4 linked regions of the Saccharomyces cerevisiae S288C genome follow. The main gene of each other region encodes a partner of the protein of the gene in region 3 in a complex. Each region holds a gene or a part of one and is shown on either strand. Other genes may lie near its edges. A codon is read from its position in the direction of its gene.

The links.
Region 1: the proteins of SIN3 (region 3) and RCO1 are in contact, whole or in part, in a cryo-EM structure (PDB 8HXX), measured with the Saccharomyces cerevisiae proteins. Residues at the interface, in NP_014639.1 of Saccharomyces cerevisiae: Ser661 (codon at 3,515), Leu662 (codon at 3,518), Glu665 (codon at 3,527), Val666 (codon at 3,530), Tyr675 (codon at 3,557), Ile676 (codon at 3,560), Leu681 (codon at 3,575), Thr683 (codon at 3,581), Glu684 (codon at 3,584), Lys687 (codon at 3,593), Ile688 (codon at 3,596), Asn690 (codon at 3,602), Leu691 (codon at 3,605), Gln694 (codon at 3,614), Asp695 (codon at 3,617), Ile696 (codon at 3,620), Leu697 (codon at 3,623), Asp701 (codon at 3,635), Lys705 (codon at 3,647), Asp707 (codon at 3,653), Phe708 (codon at 3,656), Tyr709 (codon at 3,659), Gly711 (codon at 3,665), Ser712 (codon at 3,668), Glu749 (codon at 3,779), Gly769 (codon at 3,839), Ser790 (codon at 3,902), Glu791 (codon at 3,905), Asp792 (codon at 3,908), Ser793 (codon at 3,911); in NP_013791.1 of Saccharomyces cerevisiae: Lys82 (codon at 5,032), Leu84 (codon at 5,026), Leu85 (codon at 5,023), Ile93 (codon at 4,999), Ile94 (codon at 4,996), Lys95 (codon at 4,993), Leu96 (codon at 4,990), Glu98 (codon at 4,984), Pro99 (codon at 4,981), Ser100 (codon at 4,978), Thr101 (codon at 4,975), Ser103 (codon at 4,969), Glu104 (codon at 4,966), Lys107 (codon at 4,957), Ser109 (codon at 4,951), Val110 (codon at 4,948), Thr111 (codon at 4,945), Leu113 (codon at 4,939), Pro114 (codon at 4,936), Leu115 (codon at 4,933), Asn116 (codon at 4,930), Lys117 (codon at 4,927), Gly118 (codon at 4,924), Pro119 (codon at 4,921), Ile123 (codon at 4,909), Lys124 (codon at 4,906), Glu126 (codon at 4,900), Ser127 (codon at 4,897), Leu128 (codon at 4,894), Trp129 (codon at 4,891).
Region 2: the proteins of SIN3 (region 3) and SDS3 are in contact, whole or in part, in a cryo-EM structure (PDB 8HPO), measured with the Saccharomyces cerevisiae proteins. Residues at the interface, in NP_014639.1 of Saccharomyces cerevisiae: Ser661 (codon at 3,515), Leu662 (codon at 3,518), Asn663 (codon at 3,521), Val666 (codon at 3,530), Lys809 (codon at 3,959), Glu813 (codon at 3,971), Glu816 (codon at 3,980), Tyr817 (codon at 3,983), Tyr820 (codon at 3,992), Ile821 (codon at 3,995), Leu825 (codon at 4,007), Arg826 (codon at 4,010), Ile828 (codon at 4,016), Gln829 (codon at 4,019), Cys830 (codon at 4,022), Glu832 (codon at 4,028), Thr833 (codon at 4,031), Asn836 (codon at 4,040), His857 (codon at 4,103), Lys869 (codon at 4,139), Val870 (codon at 4,142), Tyr871 (codon at 4,145), Arg875 (codon at 4,157), Glu878 (codon at 4,166), Ile879 (codon at 4,169), Ala882 (codon at 4,178), His886 (codon at 4,190), Val889 (codon at 4,199), Thr890 (codon at 4,202), Val893 (codon at 4,211); in NP_012182.1 of Saccharomyces cerevisiae: Arg18 (codon at 2,589), Ile21 (codon at 2,580), Glu22 (codon at 2,577), Val25 (codon at 2,568), Leu75 (codon at 2,418), Glu76 (codon at 2,415), Val78 (codon at 2,409), Arg79 (codon at 2,406), Leu82 (codon at 2,397), Phe83 (codon at 2,394), Tyr86 (codon at 2,385), Arg90 (codon at 2,373), Ile93 (codon at 2,364), Glu94 (codon at 2,361), Ser289 (codon at 1,776), Lys291 (codon at 1,770), Thr292 (codon at 1,767), Ala293 (codon at 1,764), Pro294 (codon at 1,761), Pro295 (codon at 1,758), Leu296 (codon at 1,755), Gln297 (codon at 1,752), Ser298 (codon at 1,749), Leu299 (codon at 1,746), Pro301 (codon at 1,740), Glu303 (codon at 1,734), Val304 (codon at 1,731), Thr305 (codon at 1,728), Asp307 (codon at 1,722), Ile308 (codon at 1,719).
Region 4: the proteins of SIN3 (region 3) and EAF3 are in contact, whole or in part, in a cryo-EM structure (PDB 8KC7), measured with the Saccharomyces cerevisiae proteins. Residues at the interface, in NP_014639.1 of Saccharomyces cerevisiae: Phe751 (codon at 3,785), Lys756 (codon at 3,800), Arg757 (codon at 3,803), Leu758 (codon at 3,806), Pro759 (codon at 3,809), Trp782 (codon at 3,878), His785 (codon at 3,887), Val787 (codon at 3,893), Trp788 (codon at 3,896), Asp792 (codon at 3,908); in NP_015348.1 of Saccharomyces cerevisiae: Asp242 (codon at 3,815), Lys243 (codon at 3,812), Pro379 (codon at 3,404), Asn380 (codon at 3,401), Arg381 (codon at 3,398), Ser382 (codon at 3,395), Asp383 (codon at 3,392), Val388 (codon at 3,377), Asn389 (codon at 3,374), Thr390 (codon at 3,371), Ser391 (codon at 3,368), Ser392 (codon at 3,365), Glu395 (codon at 3,356).

What each region holds. Positions count from the first base shown.
Region 1 is NC_001145.3:412,202-419,256, reverse strand, and holds RCO1 (Rco1p), read right to left. Parts: upstream 5,276-7,055; coding exon 3,221-5,275; downstream 1-3,220. Other genes in the region: sister chromatid cohesion factor PDS5, read left to right, coding at 1-3,061; YMR075C-A (uncharacterized protein), read left to right, coding at 3,204-3,569; SDD2 (Sdd2p), read left to right, coding at 5,784-6,221; IRC21 (Irc21p), read left to right, coding at 6,384-6,989. UniProt on the Saccharomyces cerevisiae protein: Catalytic component of the RPD3C(S) histone deacetylase complex responsible for the deacetylation of lysine residues on the N-terminal part of the core histones (H2A, H2B, H3 and H4).
Region 2 is NC_001141.2:200,620-206,523, forward strand, and holds SDS3 (Sds3p), read right to left. Parts: upstream 2,641-5,904; coding exon 1,657-2,640; downstream 1-1,656. Other genes in the region: KTR7 (putative mannosyltransferase), read right to left, coding at 1-1,424; phosphopantothenate--cysteine ligase CAB2, read right to left, coding at 2,937-4,034. UniProt on the Saccharomyces cerevisiae protein: Component of the RPD3C(L) histone deacetylase complex (HDAC) responsible for the deacetylation of lysine residues on the N-terminal part of the core histones (H2A, H2B, H3 and H4).
Region 3 is NC_001147.6:315,404-324,880, forward strand, and holds SIN3 (transcriptional regulator SIN3), read left to right. Parts: upstream 1-1,534; coding exon 1,535-6,145; downstream 6,146-9,477. Other genes in the region: DNA-directed RNA polymerase II core subunit RPB11, read right to left, coding at 410-772; palmitoyltransferase PFA4, read right to left, coding at 6,455-7,591; IZH2 (PAQR-type receptor), read right to left, coding at 8,008-8,961. UniProt on the Saccharomyces cerevisiae protein: Catalytic component of the RPD3 histone deacetylase complexes RPD3C(L) and RPD3C(S) responsible for the deacetylation of lysine residues on the N-terminal part of the core histones (H2A, H2B, H3 and H4).
Region 4 is NC_001148.4:605,494-611,582, forward strand, and holds EAF3 (Eaf3p), read right to left. Parts: upstream 4,539-6,089; coding exon 3,333-4,538; downstream 1-3,332. Other genes in the region: SDD4 (Sdd4p), read right to left, coding at 1-1,819; i-AAA protease YME1, read left to right, coding at 4,988-6,089. UniProt on the Saccharomyces cerevisiae protein: Component of the NuA4 histone acetyltransferase complex which is involved in transcriptional activation of selected genes principally by acetylation of nucleosomal histone H4 and H2A. The NuA4 complex is also involved in DNA repair.

The sequences.
Region 1 (7,055 bases), on a different chromosome or scaffold from region 3:
GGTAGTGAAATTACATAAACTGGTATTGAGACTTTGGGAAACAGTACCCGAACTGATCAATGCAGTAATCGGATTTATATACCACGAATTATCTTCGGAAAACGAGCTTTTCAGAAAAGAAGCTACAAAATTAATTGGTCAAATACTTACCTCATATTCGGATTTAAATTTTGTTTCTACACATTCCGATACGTTCAAGGCATGGATTTCCAAAATTGCTGATATTAGTCCCGATGTTAGAGTAGAATGGACAGAATCAATTCCTCAAATCATTGCCACGAGAGAAGACATATCCAAAGAACTGAATCAGGCACTGGCAAAAACCTTTATTGATTCTGATCCTCGTGTACGCAGGACTTCTGTTATGATTTTTAATAAAGTTCCCGTTACTGAAATTTGGAAAAATATAACCAATAAAGCCATTTATACATCTTTACTTCATTTGGCCCGAGAAAAACATAAGGAGGTTAGGGAACTCTGCATTAACACTATGGCCAAGTTTTACTCAAATTCATTGAATGAGATCGAAAGGACATACCAAAATAAAGAAATTTGGGAAATCATAGACACCATACCATCCACTTTATACAATCTCTATTATATCAATGATTTAAACATCAATGAACAAGTCGACAGCGTAATTTTCGAATACCTACTACCGTTTGAACCAGATAACGATAAAAGAGTCCACAGACTGCTAACGGTTTTGTCACATTTTGATAAGAAGGCATTCACTTCATTTTTCGCTTTCAATGCAAGACAAATCAAAATATCCTTCGCTATATCCAAATATATTGATTTTAGTAAATTTTTGAACAATCAAGAAAGTATGAGCTCGTCTCAAGGTCCTATTGTAATGAACAAGTACAACCAAACTCTCCAGTGGTTAGCTTCTGGCCTTTCTGACTCTACGAAAGCAATCGACGCCCTCGAAACAATAAAACAATTTAACGACGAAAGAATCTTTTATTTATTAAATGCCTGTGTCACCAACGATATTCCGTTTCTTACTTTTAAAAATTGTTACAATGAATTGGTCAGTAAGTTACAAACGCCAGGACTATTTAAAAAATATAATATATCTACTGGTGCTTCCATTATGCCACGTGATATCGCCAAGGTAATACAAATTTTGCTTTTTAGAGCCTCACCAATAATTTATAATGTATCCAACATCAGTGTTTTATTGAACCTATCTAATAATTCTGACGCAAAACAATTGGATTTGAAAAGAAGAATCTTGGATGATATATCGAAAGTCAATCCCACATTATTTAAAGATCAGATTAGAACATTAAAAACCATTATCAAGGATTTGGATGATCCAGATGCAGAAAAAAATGATAACTTGTCATTGGAAGAAGCTTTAAAAACCCTTTACAAGGCTTCCAAAACATTAAAGGATCAAGTGGATTTTGACGACACGTTTTTCTTCACCAAATTATACGATTTTGCAGTTGAAAGTAAACCAGAAATAACGAAATACGCCACAAAACTTATCGCTTTATCGCCCAAAGCTGAAGAAACTCTGAAAAAGATAAAAATACGTATCCTACCTTTAGATTTGCAAAAAGACAAGTATTTTACATCTCATATTATTGTACTCATGGAAATATTTAAAAAATTCCCTCACGTCCTAAATGATGATTCCACTGATATCATATCATACCTAATTAAAGAAGTTCTATTATCAAACCAGGTCGTTGGTGATTCAAAAAAAGAAATTGACTGGGTAGAAGATTCTCTATTAAGTGACACGAAATATTCTGCAATAGGTAATAAGGTGTTTACTTTAAAGCTGTTCACCAACAAATTGAGATCAATTGCTCCGGATGTTCCACGAGATGAATTGGCAGAAAGTTTCACCGAAAAAACTATGAAGTTATTCTTTTACTTGATTGCAAGTGGTGGTGAGCTGATTTCCGAGTTTAACAAGGAGTTTTATCCCACCCCCAGTAATTATCAAACAAAATTGAGGTGTGTGGCAGGAATTCAAGTTTTAAAACTGGCCAGGATTTCTAATTTGAACAACTTTATCAAACCTTCGGACATTATTAAATTAATTAATTTGGTTGAAGATGAATCGCTGCCAGTAAGAAAAACATTTTTGGAACAACTGAAAGATTATGTTGCTAATGAACTGATTTCCATAAAGTTCCTACCACTAGTATTTTTTACTGCTTATGAACCAGATGTCGAACTGAAAACCACAACGAAGATATGGATAAACTTTACATTTGGCTTAAAATCATTTAAAAAAGGGACGATATTTGAAAGAGCTTTGCCTAGGTTGATACATGCGATTGCACATCACCCTGATATTGTGGGAGGTTTAGATTCCGAAGGAGACGCATATCTAAATGCTTTAACAACAGCGATTGATTATTTGCTGTTTTACTTTGACTCTATTGCCGCCCAAGAGAACTTCAGTTTGCTCTATTATTTATCAGAAAGGGTAAAAAACTATCAAGATAAGTTAGTTGAGGATGAAATTGATGAAGAAGAAGGACCACAAAAAGAAGAAGCGCCAAAGAAGCATAGACCTTACGGTCAGAAAATGTATATCATAGGTGAGCTGTCGCAAATGATTCTATTGAATTTAAAAGAGAAGAAAAATTGGCAACATTCAGCATATCCAGGTAAATTAAACTTACCATCAGATTTGTTCAAACCTTTTGCAACGGTTCAGGAGGCCCAGTTATCTTTCAAAACATACATACCAGAGAGCTTGACTGAAAAAATACAAAACAATATAAAAGCTAAAATCGGACGGATTCTTCACACGTCACAAACTCAAAGACAAAGGCTTCAAAAGAGGTTATTAGCTCACGAAAACAATGAATCACAAAAAAAAAAGAAGAAAGTTCATCATGCGAGATCACAGGCTGACGACGAAGAAGGTGATGGGGATCGAGAATCAGACAGTGATGATGACAGTTATTCACCGTCTAACAAAAATGAAACCAAGAAAGGGCACGAAAATATTGTGATGAAGAAATTGAGGGTCAGGAAAGAAGTTGACTACAAAGACGATGAAGATGATGACATCGAGATGACTTAGAAGGGAAAAAAACATCAATTGCTATGTTGTAAATGGAAAAAAAAGGAAAATAGGTAGATCTCTCACTTTAAGATGCGATACATATGCCTATGTATGTGTGTATATATGTAAGGAAGGTGTTCACGTTCCTGATTTATTCTTTATGTATGTACGCCGTTTCTATTCGGATTGGTTTTCGGGATTTTCTATGTTTAAAAATTTTAACAGTTCTTCCTTTGGTTTGGATTCGATAATCTTCTTTAAATATAACAGATGCTTTATTTCATCGCTGGAAAAGTCATTGAATTGTATAGAATCTAGTTCGTTCGGCACGACTACGTTAGTCAGTTCTTTCAAATCCCATAATTTTCTTAAGTTATTGCTTTTGGAAGCCGATTTATTGTTACTACTCTTGTCGTTGTTGCTAACTTGGAAATATATTAAAGAGGCTATGTCTTTGACCATATTATCCTCGCTATTGCCATTTTGGGATCCATTTGATACTAACTTATCTATTAAACTTTCTTGAAATTGAAAGAGTTTTCTTTTTTGAACCATTTTTGATTTGTAAATTTTATCAAAAAAATCATATTTAATGGAATTTTCATCTATTTGTGTAATTTTGAAATCTTGATTGAAATCATAATCTGTATGACTAGTTGTTGGTATGATTTGAATGTTCCCGTTATTTTGGTAGCCTATTTTTTGTAAAGGTTCATAATAAAGTTGGTTTTTCTTGTTTATCAATCGTTGTTTTTTCCACACCTTATAATTTACGCTATTATCTTCTTGACAATGGTGTATCTTTTTGTAAACTTTAGTTGGGGAATGTAGAGGACATTTCCATTTTGAACCTAAGTTCTTGAAAGAAGCCCTCGGTACACAATCCAAATGCCATGGAGTCTGACAATAATCACAAGTCATTATTAATCTTGAATTTTCTGGATGAGACCATGAACCTAGTCTGGTTTGATTGCATTTGTAACAAATTAAAAACTTACCTGAATTTGAATCTATATGTGTATCCGGGTTGTAAGAGTCCAATTTAGTTATGCTTTGGCCATAAGAAGTGTTAAACAATTGTCTATCAGTTAATGGAATCTTATCATTCTCATCAGAGTATTGTCCTCTCGAACCCGTTTTCACAGCAGGAAAGGTTTCTTTTATATAATTTGGTAGCTGGAACTGTTTTGGGTTGTGGGAATCGATATTGAAAAGTAATTTAGCAAAAATCTTGACGTTGTTATTTTGCTTAATGAAGTTGGATTCAATTTTTTTTAAAGTTGCCATTGAGTTATTTATGAAGATTTTAAACTTACATTCATTACAATGCCAATCACCTTTAGGCAGGTTGTTCGGATCAATTGGTGGGTCTAAGCAAAGAAAGTGAAAGGATTTGGGGCATGTATCACAGCATAAAAAAGAACCTGACTGATTACAAGCCGAACAAAAATCTTCATTCTCAAAATCTATGGTTGAATTGTTCTTGTCCCTGAAAATTTTTTCACTCGCATTCGATGTTGACTTGATGGAATTTTGGCCAAATAGTTTACTTTTTGAATCATAGGTAGCATTCGTTGAAAGTATTATTTTGGTTCTAATATTTGATAGCTTTTTATTATCGCGGTCGCTTTCAGGTTCACGGTCACGAGTTCTGTTTATTATATCGCCATTCCAACCAATAGTTGACCGTATATTGCTCTCTTCAGTCATGTTCTCAGTTAAAAACGTTTTCAAATCATTTCTGTTCAAATCCTGAAAATTTTTCGGCACCTGAGTAAATCTTTTACTGGGGACCAGCGTCATTTCTGAGTTGTTCGATTGGCCTCCCAAATTTTTTCTATAATTCCAAAGAGACTCTCGCTTGATTTTCTCAGAAGGACCTTTATTTAACGGCAATCCAGTGACAGATACCTTCGAATCTTCCGAGATGGTGGATGGCTCATTAAGTTTGATGATATTACCCTTGGAGTCCTTTTCAAGAAGTTCCTTGGGTTCTTCTTCCGGGATATTGTCTTCAACTGCAAGATTGCTATGCTCGTTCTTGAATGATCTTTCTATACCTTCAGAAGTGATGATCTTTCTCCTTTTCAAATCGTAATTTACATTCTGGGAGGATAGTCTCTTAGGACGTTTTTTCTCTTTGGAAGAAGATGAAGAGAGAGAAGAAGATGAAGGAGAAGAACTGTTGGAATGTGAGGGCGACCTAGTAGTATCTTTCTTGCTGGTGTCCATTGTATTATTATTAGCAGATGGTAATGGAAGTGTCTTTTATAGGTTTTTCTATGGTGATTATTCTCGTTTATACTTGGTATTCTTCTTCCTTCCTCTCGTGCTTGTTGCAAATGTTCAAACGCGTAGTGGGTACGTCGTTCTCTACAAAGGAATGAGGCAGATCTTGCAGCGAGCTACTAAAACTACCACTTATGGGTTAACACGATATATATGTATTTATATCTACTAATATGGTATTAAGGCTCAAAAATAACCTTGCAACAGAGAGCAATAGTATAATTTCCTACATGAGGAAGAAAGTTGCCTATTATGGTGAGCAGGTGAAATCCTAGCTGCGAACGGGAAACTTATTCGGACGAGAAACAGATGAGAAACAGATGAGAATTTTTGGGCTGGGTAAGCGAGAATTTTTATACCACTTGTGGTTCTACAAGGAGAACCAAGAGTAAAAGTTGAAAAATCTTCTTGCTCTCTGGATTACAATTCAGGAGGAAGTGTGTGCTCAGATATGGACCCAGAGTTACAAGCTATTAGGGAAGCCAGATTGGCTCAGTTGAAAAACAACAGTGGGGGTACCAACGGCGATAGAAATAGCGGTGCTAATAATGGTGGAGGTGAAAATTCCGCTCCCGTTGGTGCAGCTATTGCAAATTTCTTGGAGCCACAAGCTTTAGAAAGATTATCTCGAGTGGCCTTGGTCCGTAGAGACAGGGCCCAAGCAGTAGAGACATACTTAAAGAAACTGATTGCTACAAACAACGTCACTCATAAAATCACTGAAGCTGAAATTGTTTCAATCTTGAATGGTATCGCCAAGCAACAAAATTCACAAAATAACAGTAAGATTATCTTCGAACGGAAAGATTTCAGCGAAGATCTGAATTCATTTGACAAGCAGAATGCTAAAAATGATGACGACGAAGATGATGACGACTTCTTTGATTAGTTTATATAAACGAATAATATGTTTTTTCGTATAATGTTACATTTAGTACAAATCATATCCTTTATAGAACTAGAGTTAAAGTTACATTAATTATGTGTAGCAAAAGGACGAATAAGCAGAATATAACATATTAGCAGGTGCTTAGATTACACTCATAGAGATATGAGTAGTGACGGCATGAACAGAGATGTTTCAAACTCGAAACCAAATGTCAGATTCGCTGCTCCTCAGCGACTAAGCGTTGCTCATCCTGCCATATCATCCCCGCTGCATATGCCCATGTCGAAGTCGTCAAGAAAGCCTCTTGTAAGAACCAAAATAAGACTAGATCCTGGGCACAGTGCTCTGGACTGGCACTCTCTAACCTCCAATCCAGCGAATTATTATACAAAATTCGTTTCGCTACAGCTTATCCAGGATTTACTCGATGATCCGGTATTTCAAAAAGATAACTTCAAGTTTTCACCTTCACAACTGAAGAACCAATTGCTTGTCCAAAAGATACCCCTTTATAAAATAATGCCACCCTTAAGAATAAACAGAAAAATCGTAAAGAAGCATTGTAAAGGTGAGGACGAGTTATGGTGCGTTATAAACGGCAAAGTCTATGACATTTCTAGTTATTTGAAGTTCCATCCAGGTGGTACGGACATCTTAATAAAGCACCGTAATAGTGACGATTTGATTACATATTTTAATAAGTATCATCAATGGGTTAACTATGAAAAATTATTACAGGTTTGTTTCATTGGCGTTGTATGCGAATAAAGGTTACCAGAGATAAAAAAAAAGTTTGAAGACTTACATAGGATATAAAAACACTACACACTTGCT
Region 2 (5,904 bases), on a different chromosome or scaffold from region 3:
ATGCAAGGGGTGGAGTGGTCTTCGATGTCTTCACCTTTCTTGGGGCACACGCATCGACATCCACATCCGAAGTTATAACCTTCATCGAAAGTGTTGAGATTTTCTTGGCTTTGTAAGGCATTCTTCGGACAATGCTGCAGCGATGAGTGTCTATAACCAATGTCTCTGAAATAATGAACGTCTTCTAGATCCAAGGTCATTCCCAACCCAATTGAATGAATTGGCGCGTCACCCCACCTTTCAGTCCAGAAACCTCCAGACTCTTCCAAAAATTTAAAATAGGCGTTATAGATCTCATTGTCGAATAAATCAACGCGGGCAATTTCAAAGTTACTCCAAAAATGACACAAATTGTAATCTTCCCCTTCAAGGGAATCCTCTAGCATTGGCACCTTAGAGCGGGCCCTTTCAACGAGATATTGTATACCTTCCAAATCTTCCTCATTATTGACTTGACCATGATTCTCTAGCAAAAAGTCTACCATCAACTTTTCTGTCAACTTTGGCTTTGCATCCCAGGGAAAATTGACCCACCTAGAAATTTCTTCATCATCTGTATCTAGAATATTATAATTAAATGTAAATAATTTCCACAACGTGCCGAGATTTTCCTTTAAACCTGCCGTTTTTTTTATAAAGCTTTTGGTTGTTCTGAACAAGTTGGGGACAGTCCAGTACAGTTCAGTTATAAGTACGGTAAACCCATATTTCTTGTTATGTTTGGCCATCTCGAAAAAGGGATCATACGAGATGTCACAAAAAAAGTCCACATCAGGTTCTATTCTCCAATACCATTCATACTTGGAAACTAATGGATGTTTATAAAAGATCCCGGAGTAAAATCGACACATCTTGTGATATGATTCCATATTACCATACATTATACCGCGATCGTTTTGGTCTTCTAATGAAGCCTTAAACTGCAATGAATTACGAACCTTAGCAGGAAACTCCCACATAATTTCATCAACAGTGCCAAACTCTACAGTGGCATTAGTTGCAGCTTGAATTTGGTCCTTAAAATGATCTGTAAAGGGGTCATCATTCAAGAAAACGTACGGATATTTGAACCACTTATTGAAATGGCCCTCTATACTTCTCATAGTTTTCAGTACGTCTTCTATTTCTTCGTTTCTCGTTAGCATAACGAAAGATGCGTTCATTTTGGAGTAAGCAGGATTTTGCAAGTACAGCTTTGTATCAGTGCAGCCCCGGAAAAATGGCTCGTCTTTGTCAGTCGAATAATCCTGTAAGGAATAAGGCAAATTATTTGGATCATGTACAATATCTTTTGCGAAAAATGGCCAGGTCCCCATACAGTAAAGTATGGCGAAGATACATCCTAAAAAGAGGAAACCATATCGTTTTTGTCGACACTTATCCAGCAAGAACCTTCTGACTTTTGGATTCAATCTTATAGCCATGCTAATTGCATCTAATTATGATGTATATTCTAGCCCTTCTTTGGTACAACTGTGCCTATAATCACAGATTGTTAGCCTGATGTATACAGTAAATTTTAGCCAATTTTTTTTTTTCGTTTTCCACTTGTATCCGAGAAAAGAAAGCAAAAACAAAAAGAGCTCACATTGAAATATAACCATCTAATGTAATATAATACAAAGTTAAAGTGGAAGGTTTGCAGCATAAAATAAATTAGTCAGACCTTAGTCTGAAAGGAGCCGGAGGCTGACCTGTTAATTCTCTGATCAAGGAAATATCCTCTGTGACCTCATCTGGTTTCAAAGACTGTAAAGGTGGAGCTGTTTTGGTGGAATATCGTTGAGCACCACGGTTTTTTTTCTTTTCATTCCCATTAGCATTGTCTTTGGGGTTCTTTTCGCCAAACAAAAATGCATATAGATCAGTACCTTCATTTATACCTTGTAGAAAATCTGAGTCAGAGTTCATGCCTGACTTGTAGGTTAGGTTGTTGAAATGGGGGAATTGCGACCCTTGTCTAGAACCATGGCCATTACTTCCAGAACCATTACCAGTTTGAAAATCAGATTCATCTTGATTGTTGTTGTTACCTCTCGTGTCTTTAGAAGCATTCCTTCTCCTTAGCGTTCTTCTATCGTTTCCAGCTCCCGTGTCAGTAGCACTTTCGTTTGCTGTATCTCTTCCATATTCGTTGGACGAAGAATCCCAACCACTTACTGTGTGACTTCTCGTGTTCTTCTGGTATTGCGGTCTGCTATAATTCATGGCATAGGAGTGCACATTGGCCACATCCATTAGTAACCTCTCCTCCTGTAATTTCTTTATTTTTTGCTCTATAGACGAATACAGTCTTTCTTTGCATAATTTAATGAGTTTCTCGTGTTCAGCCTTAGCCTTTTCAATATCTTCTTGAAATTCGATACCGGAACGAGAAACACGGTACTCTTCAAACAGGCGCAACCTGACTAACTCTAGATCTCTTTCTTCCTCCAAATCTCGTACTTGGCGGGCATATTGGCCATTATCACCTTGATGCAGAGAAGTTAAATCCGTTTGCAATGCTGTCAGTCTATCTTTATATTGATTATCTCTTTCTGAGTAAAAATTTTGATAAATCTTATTAACTTTAGATTCGATATTAAATCTTCTTTTGTCCTTGCGGGACAAGTCCTTGTTACTAACCTTTTGAATAGCCATCAATCTTGAAGACAATGCACACTGAGCTCTACAGTTTCTCTTGTTCTCTTAAAGCTTTTCCAAGGGTTCATTTTAGCTGAAAAATTGTTTGCGTTTTTTCTTCCTGAAATCTCAAGCGAAATGATCAATACATAAGCTAAATTAAATAATGAGAAAAAAGATACCTGAAAACATAATTAAGGCATAGAAGAAAAAGATTTGATAAAAGATAAATTTTCAGTTCAATAAAAAGGTTTACATACATCTAATTTTTTTTTTTGACGCAAATTTTTTTGATTACAGACAAGAGCTATGTTTTATTTCGTAGCTAGCTTAGTTTTCGAATGCGCCACCCATTTGTCATGGCGTGCGATGACTTCTGGGATTATCATCTCTTCAATGCTATGGTGTTTTTCATCCAAACGTACCCAATCTCCCTTTCTGTTTTCAGGGGATACGAAAATGACCTGTTTGTTTCTTGTCTGTAAAAGGTTTCCGATAACCAGTTGATGGTTGTATCTATCCAGGGCTTGTGTACATTTGTAAAGCAGCATGGATTCATCAGTTTCTAATTTGAACGAAACGATCATCGCTTGAGTGGCCCATGATTCCACTAATCTTCTCAAAAACTTAGGGACAGGGTCAAGATTCACAATCAGTTTACCATCAGGCGTAGTCCTAGTTGTACCTTCAGTGTCATTATTTGCTCCCATCTTACCGTTGTCTCCTGATTGAATCTTGTGCTGAGGTAGTCTTGAATATGGAACAAAAAAATCACTGACAGCAGCAGCTAAATAAAACAAGCAACCACTATTATTCAATAGCTTGGCTATACTTTTCAGTGACCATAAGTATTGGTTGACCGTGGTGAATGGTAGTAAAAGTAGTTTCTCCTCTTTCTCCATATACTTGTCATAAAGCTTTTTGTTCTTCAAAACATTCTCAGCAAATTCAGGTTTGATTTTACCTTCAGAATCAATGTAGTCCAAGAATAAAGTATTAATGCTATGGGAGAAGGACCTATTATACGGAGTTAATGAGAATTCCCTATGTAAGAAAATAACACTATATCCGTTCGCTAAGAACTGTTCAGCACTCGATGCACCACGAGTACCTGCAGAAAAATTATCGATAAAACGTACTGTATTGTTTTCCAATGGAACAGTAGTACCACCAGAGGTGATAAGAACTATTTTGTTCCTTTTCAGGGAATACTGCAAATCAATAAACTCTTTAGCGTCCTTAATCAATTCATCGATATAGGCAGGTTTAGGGTTAGTTTTGAAATATTGCTCTTCTTCAGTAGTGTAGGCAACGGGAAAGAGCTCTTCCTTGATTGTACGATCAATTGCATGACTTATTTCAGTAACAGACGTATGAATTTGAGGTCTGTTGAGCACGGGTAGAGGTGGCATTGCTATAGTATGAAGAAAAAAAGGAGTGTCTGCTGCTAATCTACACAGTTTATGACAACTAATAAAAGCGTTGTGTGCGTAATTGTCTTAGCCTCTTATACAGATGTCCTGTTGATGACAATGCCTTTAAAAAAAAAAAAAAAACGTTAACAATAGGTCACTCCTCCAGTTTTTGTCGTTTGGCGAATTCGGGTCATCGAATTCTTCCCTTGCCAATAAAGTTGGTGGAAAATACCCAAAACATCGCCTACATATCAAATCCGCAGATTTCAGGCACGCAATTTAGAGCCTACCATCTGTTCATAGTTAGGTTAGGCCATAGGTGGTCATCGTCGCCTCTACTTTCTTAGCATAATCAGGTTTTTTTCTTGATTTTTTTATCATAAATTGTAACTCCGATTTAAGTAGAAGTGAAAAAAAAAATACCCTGTTAATTGTCACAGCATCACTTCTTCCTGTTACTTTCAAAGCTGTAAAGTGTTAGCATCTTTGTGCAAGAAGTAATAAGAATTTAATTGTTAACAGGGTTTGTAGCACTGGTATACGTTTTTCCATATCATGGAACATGTTGTATCTCAAAATGAGATATGTCAGTATGACAATACGTCACCCTGAACGTTCATAAAACACATATGAAACAACCTTATAACAAAACGAACAACATGAGACAAAACCCGACCTTCCCTAGCTGAACTACCCAAAGTATAAATGCCTGAACAATTAGTTTAGATCCGAGATTCCGCGCTTCCACCACTTAGTATGATTCATATTTTATATAATATATAAGATAAGTAACATTCCGTGAATTAATCTGATAAACTGTTTTGACAACTGGTTACTTCCCTAAGACTGTTTATATTAGGATTGTCAAGACACTCCGGTATTACTCGAGCCCGTAATACAACACCTGGTAGCGTTAAAGGTTACTAATTGTTCAAACGAACCATCGAAAAGCCGAACCTAGCTACACCACACCCCAGTATGAGCTTTATGGATCAAATCCCAGGAGGAGGAAATTATCCAAAACTCCCAGTAGAATGCCTTCCTAACTTCCCGATCCAACCATCTTTGACCTTCAGAGGTAGAAATGACTCGCATAAACTGAAAAACTTTATCTCCGAAATAATGCTAAACATGTCTATGATATCTTGGCCGAATGATGCCAGTCGTATTGTGTACTGCAGAAGACATTTATTAAACCCCGCTGCTCAGTGGGCTAATGATTTTGTACAAGAACAAGGTATACTTGAAATAACATTCGACACATTCATACAAGGATTATATCAACATTTCTATAAGCCACCAGATATCAATAAAATCTTTAATGCAATCACGCAACTTTCCGAAGCTAAACTTGGTATTGAGCGTCTCAACCAACGATTCAGAAAGATTTGGGACAGAATGCCACCAGACTTCATGACCGAAAAAGCTGCCATAATGACATATACTAGGCTATTGACAAAGGAAACCTATAATATTGTCAGAATGCACAAACCAGAGACATTAAAAGACGCCATGGAAGAGGCTTACCAGACAACCGCACTAACTGAAAGATTCTTCCCAGGATTCGAACTTGATGCTGATGGAGACACTATCATCGGTGCCACAACCCACTTACAAGAAGAATACGACTCTGACTATGATTCAGAAGATAATCTGACCCAGAATAGATACGTCCACACCGTAAGGACAAGAAGATCTTACAATAAACCAATGTCAAATCATCGAAACAGGAGAAATAACAACGCATCCAGAGAAGAATGTATAAAAAATCGGCTATGCTTCTATTGTAAGAAAGAGGGACATCGCCTGAACGAATGTAGAGCACGTAAGGCGAGTTCTAACCGATCTTGAACTCGAATCAAAAGAC
Region 3 (9,477 bases):
TTTCGAGCTCTGCCCTCCCTTTAGATTTTTTTTATTTGCTGTTTTAATACTATAAGAATAGGACTCAGGTAATTAGAGTAACAGAGAAAACAAAAAAGAATATTGCGCTCGTGTTAGTGTTGAAACAAAAAAATACAGTTGTTCTTTACGTGCATCGATCATATAAGAAAAGGGAAAAAAGCCGTAAAGTAAAAAAATAAAGAGCTTTCCATGGCTGGTTTTTTTTCTTTTTTTTTTTTTTTTTTGAAGACTACAGCAGGTATTACCCGGAGTGAAAAAGGTTTCTCACACTAAAATTTACGTGTTCAAGACATTGAAGTTATGTATAAATATATATGAGCGTATATTATGTGTATGTCCGTTTCCATTCTGTTTAGATTTTATGGCTATAGTATTAAACTCCTATATATCAAAATGCGTCGTCGGCGGCTAGAGTTTGCAGGTTCCACTCGGTTTCGAAATTTGTCTTCAGGGCGCCAAGCTTGTTAATGATGCTGTTACAGGCGTTTTTCAAGGCATCCTTCGGGTCGTAGCCCTCGGTGGTCTGTATTCTCAGCTTGAAACGAGCGAAGAAGGGATGCTCAACCTTGTAAGCGGCAAACAGCACTTTTCTGTCGTTCAGAAGTTCTGCACGAATCAGGTTTCCCAACGTGTGGTCCTCCTTCTCAAACGTTATCACTACTGCGTTGGGGGCTTTGGTGTCGGGGTCAATCTTTAGCTTGGATTCCCCTTCACCCAGAAGGAACAGTTCGAATCTGTCTGGAGCATTCATGATGCAGTTGTGTCCAAATGTATCTGGTTTGGTGGCTACGTAGCTATCTATTTAGGCTGCACGGCTCAGTTCTCTCGCTCTTCTTTTAACGGACCTCTTGTGTGTGCCAAAGCAGTGAACCTAGAATTTTCGCGGACACTTCCACTTTATTAAGTCCGGGTAATGATAATATTGAGCTTGCAAGTTTTTTGAACTCGGATAGCAGCATTATCCATGACATGACACGGATCTACCGACGAGGCTTACCGACGAGGCTTACCGACGAGGCTTACCGTGATCCCTCTCCAGTAGTCTGTAAATTCTGTTTATAATTTAAAAAATCTATCTTCTACTCCAGTCTTGTAACTACTGTTGTTACGCGCTGCCCAGAGTGTGGCACACACTGCGGGGTTACCCGTGTAACGTAGAATAAACCAGTACGGGTAATGATATCGGATTTTCTAGTGATTTTTTTCCATTCGCAAAAAAGTCGCCTTCATTTTGCAGTTCTTCAGCAAACGTGATTTGCAAAACAACGGTTACTCCCCTTCCCTATTACATTTGTCTTCCCTTTTTCGCACCAGCATTGCTAATATTCGAGGCACCGTACCTAACTAATCAGCTCATTCACGTACCACATATTCTTTGTTACTTCCCTCCCTCCACAACAGGCTACGCTATTGACCGCTTTCAGTATAGTCTCTTTACCCTTTTGTTGTGTTCGTTTGAGGTTATTTGGAAAAGGACAAAATATCTAAGAAACAAGTTATACATTGTACAAAAATGTCACAGGTTTGGCATAATTCGAATTCGCAATCAAACGATGTGGCTACTTCAAATGACGCTACGGGTTCCAACGAAAGAAACGAAAAAGAACCGTCCCTCCAGGGAAATAAGCCCGGTTTTGTTCAACAGCAGCAACGGATTACTTTACCCTCGCTATCTGCCTTGAGTACTAAGGAGGAAGATAGAAGAGATTCCAATGGCCAACAGGCTCTAACTTCTCATGCTGCTCACATATTAGGTTATCCTCCCCCACATTCAAATGCTATGCCCTCAATTGCAACTGATTCAGCATTGAAACAGCCCCACGAGTATCACCCTCGCCCTAAATCTTCGTCCTCTTCTCCCTCTATAAACGCTTCGCTTATGAATGCTGGTCCAGCTCCCCTCCCCACAGTGGGAGCCGCCAGTTTTTCTTTGTCGAGATTTGACAATCCATTACCGATAAAAGCTCCTGTTCATACAGAGGAACCAAAAAGTTATAATGGTCTTCAGGAAGAAGAAAAGGCGACGCAACGGCCTCAAGATTGCAAGGAAGTTCCCGCTGGTGTGCAGCCTGCTGATGCCCCTGACCCTAGCAGCAACCATGCAGATGCTAACGATGACAATAATAACAACGAAAATTCTCACGATGAAGATGCTGACTACAGACCTCTAAACGTGAAGGATGCCCTATCTTACCTCGAACAGGTCAAATTTCAATTTAGTTCGCGTCCGGATATCTATAATTTATTTTTAGATATTATGAAGGACTTTAAATCTCAGGCAATAGACACACCGGGCGTTATTGAAAGAGTATCCACTTTGTTCAGAGGTTATCCAATTTTGATTCAAGGGTTCAATACTTTTCTACCCCAAGGCTATAGAATCGAATGCTCCTCTAATCCGGACGACCCCATTAGAGTTACTACACCAATGGGTACTACGACAGTAAACAATAACATCAGTCCATCTGGTAGAGGTACAACGGATGCACAGGAACTTGGTTCTTTTCCAGAAAGCGATGGAAATGGTGTTCAACAGCCCTCCAATGTGCCAATGGTGCCTTCGAGTGTGTATCAATCGGAACAAAACCAAGACCAACAACAATCTTTGCCTCTTTTAGCTACTTCTTCTGGTTTACCTTCAATTCAACAACCTGAAATGCCTGCACATCGCCAAATCCCACAAAGTCAATCTTTAGTGCCTCAAGAAGATGCTAAGAAAAACGTTGATGTCGAATTTAGTCAAGCCATAAGCTACGTTAATAAAATTAAAACTAGATTTGCCGACCAACCTGATATTTACAAGCATTTTCTGGAAATACTACAAACTTATCAGCGAGAGCAAAAGCCAATAAACGAAGTCTACGCACAAGTGACGCATCTTTTCCAAAATGCTCCTGATTTACTAGAAGATTTCAAGAAATTCTTGCCGGACTCTTCAGCTTCTGCCAATCAGCAGGTGCAACATGCTCAGCAACATGCTCAACAACAACATGAGGCCCAAATGCATGCACAGGCACAAGCTCAGGCTCAGGCACAGGCACAGGTGGAACAACAGAAGCAGCAACAGCAATTCTTGTATCCAGCTTCGGGCTATTACGGCCATCCTTCTAACCGAGGTATTCCACAGCAAAACTTGCCTCCTATAGGAAGCTTCTCGCCTCCAACAAACGGTTCGACCGTACATGAAGCCTATCAGGATCAACAGCACATGCAACCACCCCACTTCATGCCCTTACCATCGATCGTTCAACACGGGCCAAATATGGTACATCAAGGGATAGCGAATGAAAATCCACCTCTATCAGATCTAAGAACGTCTCTCACTGAACAGTACGCTCCTTCTAGTATACAACATCAGCAGCAGCACCCGCAAAGTATTAGTCCTATAGCAAATACGCAGTATGGTGATATCCCTGTTAGACCGGAAATTGATTTAGATCCTAGCATTGTGCCTGTGGTCCCTGAACCCACTGAGCCCATCGAAAACAATATATCGCTTAATGAGGAAGTCACTTTCTTCGAAAAGGCCAAGAGGTATATCGGCAATAAACATTTATACACTGAGTTTTTGAAAATTTTAAATTTGTACTCTCAAGATATACTTGATCTTGACGATTTAGTGGAAAAGGTAGATTTCTACTTGGGTTCCAATAAAGAACTATTTACGTGGTTCAAAAACTTTGTTGGCTACCAAGAAAAAACCAAATGTATCGAGAATATTGTTCATGAAAAACATAGATTGGATTTAGATTTATGTGAGGCATTTGGCCCAAGTTACAAGAGGCTACCAAAAAGTGACACTTTCATGCCATGCTCAGGTAGGGATGATATGTGTTGGGAAGTCTTGAACGATGAATGGGTTGGACATCCTGTATGGGCTTCCGAAGATTCGGGATTTATTGCTCATCGTAAAAACCAGTATGAGGAAACACTATTCAAGATCGAAGAGGAAAGACATGAGTATGATTTTTACATTGAATCAAATTTAAGAACTATTCAATGTTTGGAAACAATTGTAAATAAGATCGAGAACATGACTGAGAATGAAAAAGCCAATTTTAAACTGCCTCCAGGTCTTGGCCATACTTCAATGACTATTTATAAAAAAGTGATAAGGAAAGTTTATGATAAGGAAAGGGGGTTCGAGATTATTGATGCTTTGCATGAGCACCCTGCAGTGACAGCCCCAGTCGTTCTGAAAAGGTTAAAGCAAAAAGACGAAGAATGGAGAAGAGCTCAACGTGAATGGAATAAAGTTTGGAGGGAGTTAGAACAGAAGGTTTTTTTCAAGTCATTAGATCATTTAGGCTTAACATTTAAACAGGCTGACAAGAAATTATTAACTACAAAGCAGTTGATATCAGAGATTAGCAGCATCAAAGTTGATCAAACAAACAAAAAAATTCACTGGTTAACTCCTAAACCAAAGAGCCAGTTAGATTTTGATTTCCCTGATAAAAACATTTTCTATGATATCTTGTGTTTGGCTGACACTTTTATAACCCATACCACAGCCTATTCTAATCCCGATAAAGAAAGATTGAAAGATTTACTAAAATACTTCATCTCTTTGTTTTTTTCTATTTCTTTCGAAAAAATCGAAGAATCGTTGTACTCCCATAAGCAAAACGTGTCAGAATCTAGCGGATCTGACGATGGCAGTTCTATTGCATCAAGGAAGAGGCCCTATCAACAAGAAATGAGTTTACTTGATATTTTACACAGGAGCAGATATCAAAAGCTAAAGCGTTCTAATGATGAAGATGGCAAAGTTCCCCAGCTCTCTGAACCACCCGAAGAAGAACCTAATACCATTGAGGAGGAAGAGCTCATCGATGAAGAAGCTAAAAATCCGTGGCTAACTGGGAATTTAGTGGAGGAAGCAAACTCTCAGGGTATTATCCAAAATCGCAGTATTTTTAATCTATTCGCTAATACGAATATTTACATATTTTTCCGTCATTGGACAACGATTTATGAGCGGCTTTTGGAAATTAAGCAAATGAATGAAAGGGTCACAAAGGAAATCAACACAAGGTCGACAGTTACTTTTGCCAAAGATCTAGATTTATTATCGAGTCAACTTTCCGAAATGGGACTAGATTTTGTTGGTGAAGACGCGTACAAACAGGTTTTAAGACTGAGTAGAAGGTTGATTAATGGGGATCTTGAACATCAGTGGTTTGAAGAGAGTTTGCGGCAAGCTTACAATAACAAAGCGTTTAAACTCTATACAATTGATAAAGTCACCCAATCGTTGGTAAAGCATGCTCATACCTTGATGACTGACGCTAAAACTGCGGAAATAATGGCTTTGTTCGTTAAAGATAGAAATGCCTCCACCACGAGTGCGAAGGACCAAATTATCTATCGCTTGCAGGTGCGCTCACATATGTCCAACACAGAAAATATGTTTAGAATAGAGTTTGATAAAAGAACTCTGCATGTTTCCATTCAATATATTGCACTTGATGATTTGACACTAAAGGAACCAAAGGCAGACGAAGATAAATGGAAATATTATGTAACATCGTATGCTCTGCCACATCCAACAGAAGGCATTCCGCACGAGAAACTGAAGATACCATTTTTGGAAAGGCTCATCGAATTTGGACAAGATATTGATGGAACAGAGGTAGATGAGGAGTTTTCCCCCGAAGGCATCTCTGTATCGACATTGAAAATTAAGATCCAGCCTATAACCTACCAACTGCATATTGAAAACGGGTCTTACGATGTTTTTACCCGTAAGGCTACTAACAAATATCCTACTATTGCTAATGATAATACTCAAAAAGGAATGGTTTCTCAGAAGAAGGAGTTGATATCAAAATTTCTAGACTGTGCAGTTGGTTTGAGAAATAATTTAGATGAGGCTCAAAAATTAAGTATGCAAAAAAAATGGGAGAACCTAAAAGACAGCATAGCAAAGACGAGTGCTGGAAACCAGGGAATAGAGAGTGAAACCGAAAAAGGTAAAATTACGAAACAGGAGCAGTCGGATAATTTGGACAGCTCTACTGCAAGTGTACTGCCTGCATCCATTACTACTGTACCACAAGATGATAATATAGAAACGACTGGGAATACTGAATCTTCAGACAAGGGGGCTAAGATTCAATAAGTAGTTTTAACTAGATTTAGAACAAAAATCTTTAGTACGACAGGGTCTTTCTTCTGATGTGTACCTTTAATTAATGTCAACGATATAACATTGTAATTTTAAAATTCTAAGTGTTTTTGAAGCTTTTTAAGACACATCGATCTTTCCATAAAGGAAGAAGTGATAACATGCAGTGGTTATATTTGTGTACTCATACACTGGTGCATGAATCTTTTTACACGTCATTAGCATAGTATGTAATCGAAAGGACACTATTTATAAGGGACAGTTTATACATACATATACTTGATATTCCCATGAATGAGTATTCTATTCCATATCAACATCCACTCCAAAATCGTCTAGTGATTCACCCCAGTCGTTGTACCACTTCTCACGAGAAGCATGTCTGCCATTTTGAGGAAGTCTGGTCCTTATTAGCTGTTCGCCACTTTCATTACGCATCTCTATTGTTGAGCTGCCATGATTGAAGACGGTGTTTGTTTTACCTCCATCTGGTGGCCAGGGAAGTGAAAGGATGTGGTCTTCCAATGAGGAGTTAGCCTCATATTTTGAAATACCGTTTTTTGGAAAATTGTTCCCATCTCCCGTAGGAACACCATATGGCCATAACCATAAATGAATGGGACCAAGGTACAGTAATGCATTAGTGTACAAATCAAAATCGTAAGGGAAATTTACAAGTTCATCAAAACGTGGCCTTTTTTTTGTCAAGTGTTCCTCAGCATCCTTTTTATTTTGAAACGACCTCGACTCTGGATATATTCTCCAAGTATTATCAATTAATTTCTGAGTTAATCTTCCGGAGTTGAACAAAGATTCTAGCCGATCCATATCCCACGACTCAATTTGAGATCTTCCATTCAAGATTTGATTGAATAAACATCGTAGGAAAAGAATTGTTATCGTTAGTAGGACAAAAGAATTTAAAGGACTCGATATTGTTAAGAAAATCAGTTCTGATTTTTTGAAGAAGTAGCCAGGCAAGTGCCTTTGTTGCCAAATAAAATATATCCGCTTAGCTTGTATGCAAAATAAAACACTAGTCGTCACTATGATCCAAAATAAGAATCTAAGGAAATGCGGATAGTTTGCAAAGCCGACGCAATTCATCGTCCACGGACAATGATGATCCATCATTAGGACGCATTGATTGCAGGTTTTACAATGATGTGAACGTTCTGGCTTATAACTTTGGCACTTCTTACAGAAATTCCGCCAGATATCAGGGGGTGGTTTGTAGTTGGGCAAAGGCCTTCCTGGATTTGTGCAGATGGCCAAGTAATAGGAGAGCCATATCATTGACAAACAGAACTCAAATGTTATTTGTTTCGGAACTGACAAGAAATTGGATAAAATAAAGTAGTGTGCACCATAGCCTATAAATGAAATCAGAAACGTTGGTATAGCAATTCCTAACCAAGGCCACCTTAACTTTACTGGCATGGTTTAACGATCAACTCAGTTTTTAAAATTCATGTTATACACCATCACCACAATGTAGGGACGATAATTATCGTATCTCAGATCCGCTATTTTTCATAAGCGCGTAGTAAGAGAGGTAGGTTTAACAGGATAATAAAAATATACATGAGACAGCCAATAAATAGTGGAAATAAGCCGTATTTTAAATTGAGAGCTCTTAGTAAGAAAAATGTTCCTCTGAGACGCTAAAGTCGTGTATATTTCATATGAGAAAGTGCACAAATCCTGCTTCCCTTCTATCTGGGAATTTCTTTTCTATATTTGAACATATTATTGTAAGGGCCTTTTTCTTTATTCTCTTCTCACATATAAGAACCATTTTATTATTTTAACTTTAAAACTACTTTCTATATAAATCCTACGTTTTTTCCAAATATCTAGGAGACAATCCCGTTCTCCATCTTTATATGGACTAACTCATAACTATTTAATAAACCTCTCAAGTGGCACAATGCCGCAATAACAACTAGAAAATGGAAAAGTTGGTGAGAATGACCCCAAATATCAAATTTACCGGGGCAAATCTTTTCAGGAAACCGCATTCCATAAAGAACAGCGCCAATTATATATAGGACACCCCCAAGTAATACCCAAAAGAGCTGAATTTGGGTCCAAATTTCTGAAAAACTATAGCAGTAAAGGCCGCTGAATATTGGAATAATTGAGGATAAACCAAAACAAACAAATAGCCCAGCTCTGTAAGGTCTCCACTCTCTTTTCCGAAACTTATCTTTTAGTGACACAATACTACACGCGATCCCAAAGCTAACGGTAATAAGCGCAAATAGGCAAAATAGGGAAAATTTCTCAAAATAGCCGTAGTACAAAATACTGACCATTGACGTAACAATCAATATACAAATACCAAGGTAGTCCAACTTATTTCCTAAGGTAGCAATTCTTAAGGAGTGACTCTTTAGACAATGAAAGGAGCTACTCAATATTAAACATGCAAACGCCCCCGAATAAAAGAGGTCGATTACCATATGATCTAGCCATGTAGTTGTTGCAAACACTTTGATAGTAGATTTATCTAGCAACAGTACAGTGAAGAACCCGAGAGCAGGAATTAAATGTGAATAAATATTGACACTTTCATTATGCAAATAAAACAAACTTTTAAAAGTTTCAATGAAGCTACTAGTTTCTTTCACGTATCCATGTAAAATAAAATCATTGTCTCTTTGCCATTCCGGAATTTCATCCCAACTATATAGCCTTCTTAGTACTTTTTTAGCTTTAGCGACCTCTGCGGGATTTGCGGATGTTTTCCCTGCAGCTCTCTTCTTCAGCTCTTGCACACTCTTAGTCCTTTCTAATAAAGTTGACATTTGGAATGATTCTTCTCCAACATGCAGCATAATTAAAACGACGGGAAATTTAGTACATTTGGCTCAAGGAACGCTGACATAAATACTATTTCTAATCTACTATTCGAAGAGATGTTGGATTTCTAAAAAAAAAAGAGCTCAACAACGGAAGACCGCCTATTAACCCCGAGTGTCTGTTTTTTAGTATACTCGAAGCAAACAAGAAAAGTTTGTTACTTAATTTCTGGCCTAAACAAGGTAGTGCTACCCTAGAGGAAGTACGATATCAGTACACTTTTGTATTTTTAACGAATTATGGTATTCTTTAAAATATTTAACATGCTATCGAGTTTTTCTTTCTAAAATGCGGTTTCAAAATTTGAGTCCGCTTTCTATGGAAAATATGAATGAGGCGAACGTGCTTGTACCATAGTCAGATTTTAACCCGTAGGTGAGAGCCTGAGGCTTCTGTAAACCACCTTGGAAACACATACGGGTTATAAGATTTTAACAAACAATCAGTCTCCATACTCATCC
Region 4 (6,089 bases), on a different chromosome or scaffold from region 3:
GATGTAAAAAAGACCTTTCATGTAAATACCTGTTCGTACTTGTTTTTTCATATCCTTCGACTAATAATAAACTTTGAATGATGTAGGTTTTAGAAGGTGGTTGAAAATCAGCATGAGAAAAAATTATCCATCTTAGAGGACCACAAATTGGGTCACTAATCTGTTCACGATACTCGCTTCCCAAAAAACTTGCGCCAGTCATAATTAGTGCCAAATTCAAAATTGCAGGCTGTTTATCAACGTGAAAAGAGGGTTTGTGAAGCAGACCGTATTGTGGATGGAAGTTCAACCAGAAGGATTTTAACGATTTGTGTATAGATTCAATAGAGACATAGCGTAATTCTGGAACAAATGAAAACATTTCTTGACATTTTTCTTTTGATATCTTATACTTTGTTAAGGGATCCGGATGGAAAAATGACGGGACACTTTTCATAGAGTGACGCAACTGTTCCTTGTAGTTCAGAGAGGAATTGTTTCCTACTCCTGAATCTTTAGATGATCTCCGTTTTAGCTCGTTGATATTAAGCTTCTGACTGGAAAGATTGTCCTTCACTGAAGTACTGGGGTTATCGTTGAACTTCGGTTGTGCTTTGGGAATTTTAATGTTATCTTGTGGTAACTCAAACATAACTGGAGGATTCTGGAACCCTTCGTCTTGTTGAACAGGTTTTTCATTAGGTGGGATTGTATTCTTGTCAGAAAATGTATCTTCAATACTTACTTGCGGGGCTTCAGAAAGTTCTTGCATGAAAGATTGTAATGGGTCGCTGTTCAAAAAATTTGTAGAAAAAAGGTCCTGCATAACTGACAAATTAGCACCGCTAGAGGAAGATGTTAATGGATCTCCAAATGGATTCTGGGGTGGTAATTGTTGTTGTTGTTGTTGTTGCTGTTGCTGTTGCTGTTGCTGTTGGGCAAGCTTTTGCTGCTGAAAGTACTGTTCCTGTTGTTGATCCTGGGTAAGTGGCTGGAGTGGCTGCTGATATGAACTACTTGCAAAATTTCTGTCTTGATATCGTTGCTGCTGCACGGCTGGATTGATATTCATATTTTGGTCATTGCCATTACCGTTGTTATTCGCTGCATCCACTTCAAAACCATTAACGCCTGTACGGTTATCAAATATCAAATTAAAAAATTGATTACCATTTTGACCGTTGTTCCTTATTCGAGGATCATACGATGGAAAAGTAGGACTTGCTTGCTGTGGATGCATTTGTTGCTGCAACATAGGTTGTTGCAATGGTGCCCGCAGTTGCTGCGGGAATTGAAGTTGCTGCAGTTGTTGAATTTGTTGTGGTTGTTGTGATTGCTGAACCTGTTGAGGTTGTTGAGCCTGTTGAAGAAAAGGACGAAATTTTGATTCTTGTGTGATAGATGGTGGTGGATTCACAGAATTTTTTATTAAGTTAATCGTAGAAGTTCCACTTTGCGTAGAAAGGGGTACTTCACTGGGATTATATGGTGCATTTTTGGAGAAGTCCTTATTTGATGAGGAAATCTGGTCCTTGCTTGGCCGACTTAATCTGTTTTTCACCTTTGAATGCCTCTTTTCATGTCTGATCAGTAAATCTTTCCTTACAAACGTTTTATTGCAAGGCGCATTTGTAGTAGGAAGCACGTAAGAACAAACATATATCTCTTTCGGCCAGTGGTTTAGCTTGTGTCTTGATAAATGTTCCTGACGTGAGAAAGTTTTATTACATTCGGGATGTGGACACCTAAATCTTTCAGCAGGAGAAGAGCTTGAATTTGGTGATAAATCGTTATCATTTTCCCTTTTCCGGAGCCTGCCAGCCAACTCTTTGCCGTGCATTTTTGCCAATATTAAGAGCTAGCTTCACTGCTTTATTGGTCACTTTTTATAATTATAAACATAGTAGATGAGTCCTAGAATCTCAATACAGCCTTTAAAACTATTAAAGAAGCTGTTCGCAACTCACAAAAAAAATAAAAAAATAAAGCAGAACGAAAAAAAAAAAAAACAAAAAAAACAGTTAACTATTCTAATTACTTAGAATCTTTAAAAGTCTTACTGTAATTCGATCAGTGGAGAAGGAAAGCGCACATGTGATATCTCGCAATTTCTTCTCAAACTACCTTGACAGTAATTTTTCTTAAAAACGATTGGCTCCTACATGAAATCCACGAAAAAGCACGGTAGTCTTGTTAGAGGACACTGATATACGAGGAAAGAATTGATAAAGCGGAAGGTCTTTGGAAACAATTCAAGACCGATGACATAACTTTTAAGAGGTAGGTGGGGAAGCCCATATGGAGAATTTTAAAAGCAATAGGGTGCTCGCTTCCAAGCAAATTAGTACTTTTTTTTTTTTTTTAGCAGGAGAATAAAGCTTCAAGCTAATGCACTAGAGTTCGAGGTGCATCATTTCAGTTTTTTTTGCTAGGGCATAATTGATCAGCCTGTTAAACTCATTGCATAGTCAGTAAATTTACAATCCCCGAAAATAATGGTTCCCTTAAATAAGCGAGTTAAGGACTTTTTTTTTTTTTTACAGCAGTAGACCAACCTGTACATGTTTCATAGTCAAGTAATAGCCTGACGAATATCAAACGTTTCCTCTTTTTCATTCCTTTCCTTCAAATGCCTTGGGTTGAAAGGATAGACGTGTATTTAATGCAAGCTCTATCTATAATGAGTGTTATTACAATTGTTATGCTTCTGCATTGAGCGATGAATAAATATAAACAACTCCTTTTCGAACAACTTGTAATTATCCTACGCTTTTGCCTGAGGTCCTTTTTAGCCATTGACAACAAGCAAGTGTCTTTCTGTATGAAGTAAACCCTGCATAAAGTTGTTTTTTGCTGCGTCAGAGGGTTAATGACTTCGAAAGACCCTTTTCTCATATAAGACGCGCCACAGAAGAATGCGCACGACAACGGACTATTTTAGATTATATAATGGCGCGTGTGATGCTGCTTTAATCATGTTGCATAGACCATGCAATTACACTAAAAATATAAAACAAGGAGCCCTGGACAGAACTTGGTAGTGTGCAAACGAGTAAGTGAAGATGATAGTACATTATATACGAAGCTCTTAGTAAGCTCATACTAGATGCGAAACGATGGATACGTCAGAAAAATAACAAAAATAAAATATAATCATTAATGATGTTTTAACTCGACAAGCCCCTTTCAGAGCTGCCATTACCCTAAGAACCTTGCAAAGAGAATAAACTTGAATTTCGTAAAGTGCCACGAACAGTGTCCATATTCTTACACGAGATATTCTGTGAAGAGTTATTGCATAAATACGGAAGAACTAAATACTAGAAATAATCCCAAGCTAGAATATAAACGTCTCACATACCTAAAGCCACTCCTTCGTATTGGCTAGACGTATTTACATACAGAGCATCGTCACTTCTATTTGGATCCTTGTCATTGAAGTATTCGTCCACATGCATCAACAACCAAACCAAGAAGTCTTCGGTTTGTTTGATTAAAAGCTGACAGCTTTGTAGATCCATTGTAGTAGACGAGATCAGCTCTGGTAAAACACTTATCAACCTTAACAGATGGATAGCCCCATAAATTCTAATTGGTACTAGTGGCTTTTGATCCTTCGATGATTTTTTCAGAAGTTCGTCATATTGCAGCCGTTCCAACCTATATAAAAGCATATTACCCAGGCACTTGTCAAAATACAACTTGAGACCGGCACAGTATTCGCTCAACTGTGACTGGGACCCTGGCGATTCCAATTCTTGACTCACTTCATGTTCGTATTTATTCAGTACCATCTCTACCGTCACATCAGCGGGTAGTCTGCAAATTTTTTTGTCCTTCGTTACGTATTCCCAATCGTCGACTAACACGCTCTTCAATTTTATGGGAATTTGAAGGGAAATCTTGGGGGTTGGATAGCCGGCAATATGATGTAGCATATTTGGCGATAGCGAAGAAGATCTTCTGCGGTCATCATTCCCATTTTGGTCGGATGACGAGCGCAAAGAGCTGCCAGGATGGAGGGAATTAGCGGAACTTCTTCCGCTTTTCCTGCCGCTCACTGAAGATGTTAAAAAACTCTGTGAAGTGCTCTTACTTATACTAGCATTCGAGCGGCTGTCTCCCTTTCTTTTTCCACCATTACTAGGCCCTCCCAGACTAGTGGAGAGCTTCTTTTTTTTCTGCTGTTCCAGTAACGATTTCTTAGCTTCTTTCGCCTCGTTCGCCAGTCTTTTTTTCATGGCAATATTCTCTTCATTGTAGGCCCGTATCCTATCATATCCAACCCACTCATCCCAACTCGACTTCCAGCCTTGGTAATGTATGAAAAAACACTTCCCATTAATGATCTCTTCTGGAATGCTTTCATCTTCTCCCAGCTTTTGTGGCTTTATTTCCTTAGTTGCTTGTGAACTACCACCTGGCTTGTCATTAGGAATGCTGGTATACATTTTCGAAGATGGATCCCATATTTTCAAGATCTTTGCTTCATACATAAGAGGACCATGGAATGCCAGACACCGCCCACCGAGCGCAAATTCCTGCTCCAAATCAACCATTATACGTTCTTCAATAGGGTAAATCCAGTGACGAGGCCTCACAGATGCTAATGCAAAATGCTATATGCTTTTAACGACTGTTTTGCAATATACCCTTTTACGTTTCTGGTCGGGATTTCGGATGCATCTTTATTTTCATCTTTCGTGAAATGCGATATGTGGCGATCGCCGGAGGAACGGCCCCCAATCTTCGCCACCTTTTTCTATCAGCATCGGTTGGTTAGTAATCTCGAATCACATGGTACCTCTTTCTTCGAGGAGTGGTAGCTCCTGTACGCTGTAGCGGTAGTGAAAAGGCAATATATCGGAGTTGGTGAAGTGAGTTAAATCTCTACCTTGCGTTTTTGATAAGTAAAAAGCAAGCACAGCTTAAAGGATAAACAGGATTTTATTGAAGCAATTTTTAATTATAATACATTGTGGATAGAACGAAAACAGAGACGTGATAGATGAACGTTTCAAAAATACTTGTGTCGCCCACGGTCACGACAAATGTTTTACGCATATTTGCTCCCAGGCTACCTCAAATCGGTGCTTCTTTGTTAGTTCAAAAAAAATGGGCCTTAAGATCAAAGAAGTTCTACCGTTTTTATTCTGAAAAGAATAGCGGTGAAATGCCTCCTAAGAAGGAAGCTGATAGCTCTGGAAAGGCATCCAATAAATCCACGATATCTTCAATCGACAATTCGCAACCACCACCTCCATCGAACACTAATGATAAAACCAAACAAGCGAACGTAGCTGTGTCACATGCTATGCTAGCAACTAGAGAACAAGAGGCCAATAAAGACTTAACGAGTCCTGATGCACAAGCAGCCTTTTACAAACTTCTCTTACAATCAAACTACCCGCAATACGTGGTCTCTAGGTTTGAGACCCCCGGTATTGCGTCATCGCCTGAATGCATGGAACTGTACATGGAGGCCCTGCAGAGGATAGGCAGACACTCGGAGGCTGATGCCGTTAGACAAAACCTACTGACAGCCAGCTCTGCTGGCGCAGTTAACCCATCATTGGCGTCATCTTCATCAAACCAGTCAGGTTATCATGGTAACTTTCCATCGATGTATTCTCCGCTTTATGGATCTCGCAAAGAGCCACTACATGTTGTCGTATCTGAATCAACTTTTACTGTTGTATCGAGATGGGTAAAGTGGCTGCTTGTTTTCGGTATCTTAACCTACTCTTTTTCTGAAGGTTTTAAATACATCACAGAAAATACAACGCTACTAAAGTCGTCAGAAGTAGCCGACAAATCAGTTGATGTAGCTAAGACAAATGTTAAATTTGATGATGTCTGCGGTTGTGATGAGGCCCGTGCGGAATTGGAAGAAATTGTTGATTTCCTGAAAGATCCAACTAAGTACGAGTCCTTGGGTGGTAAACTACCAAAGGGTGTACTGTTGACTGGACCTCCTGGTACAGGTAAAACTTTGTTGGCTAGGGCCACTGCCGGAGAGGCTGGTGTAGATTTTTTCTTTATGTCAGGTTCTGAATTTGATGAAGTTTACGTCGGTGTTGGTGCTAAACGTATCCGTGATTTGTTTGCTC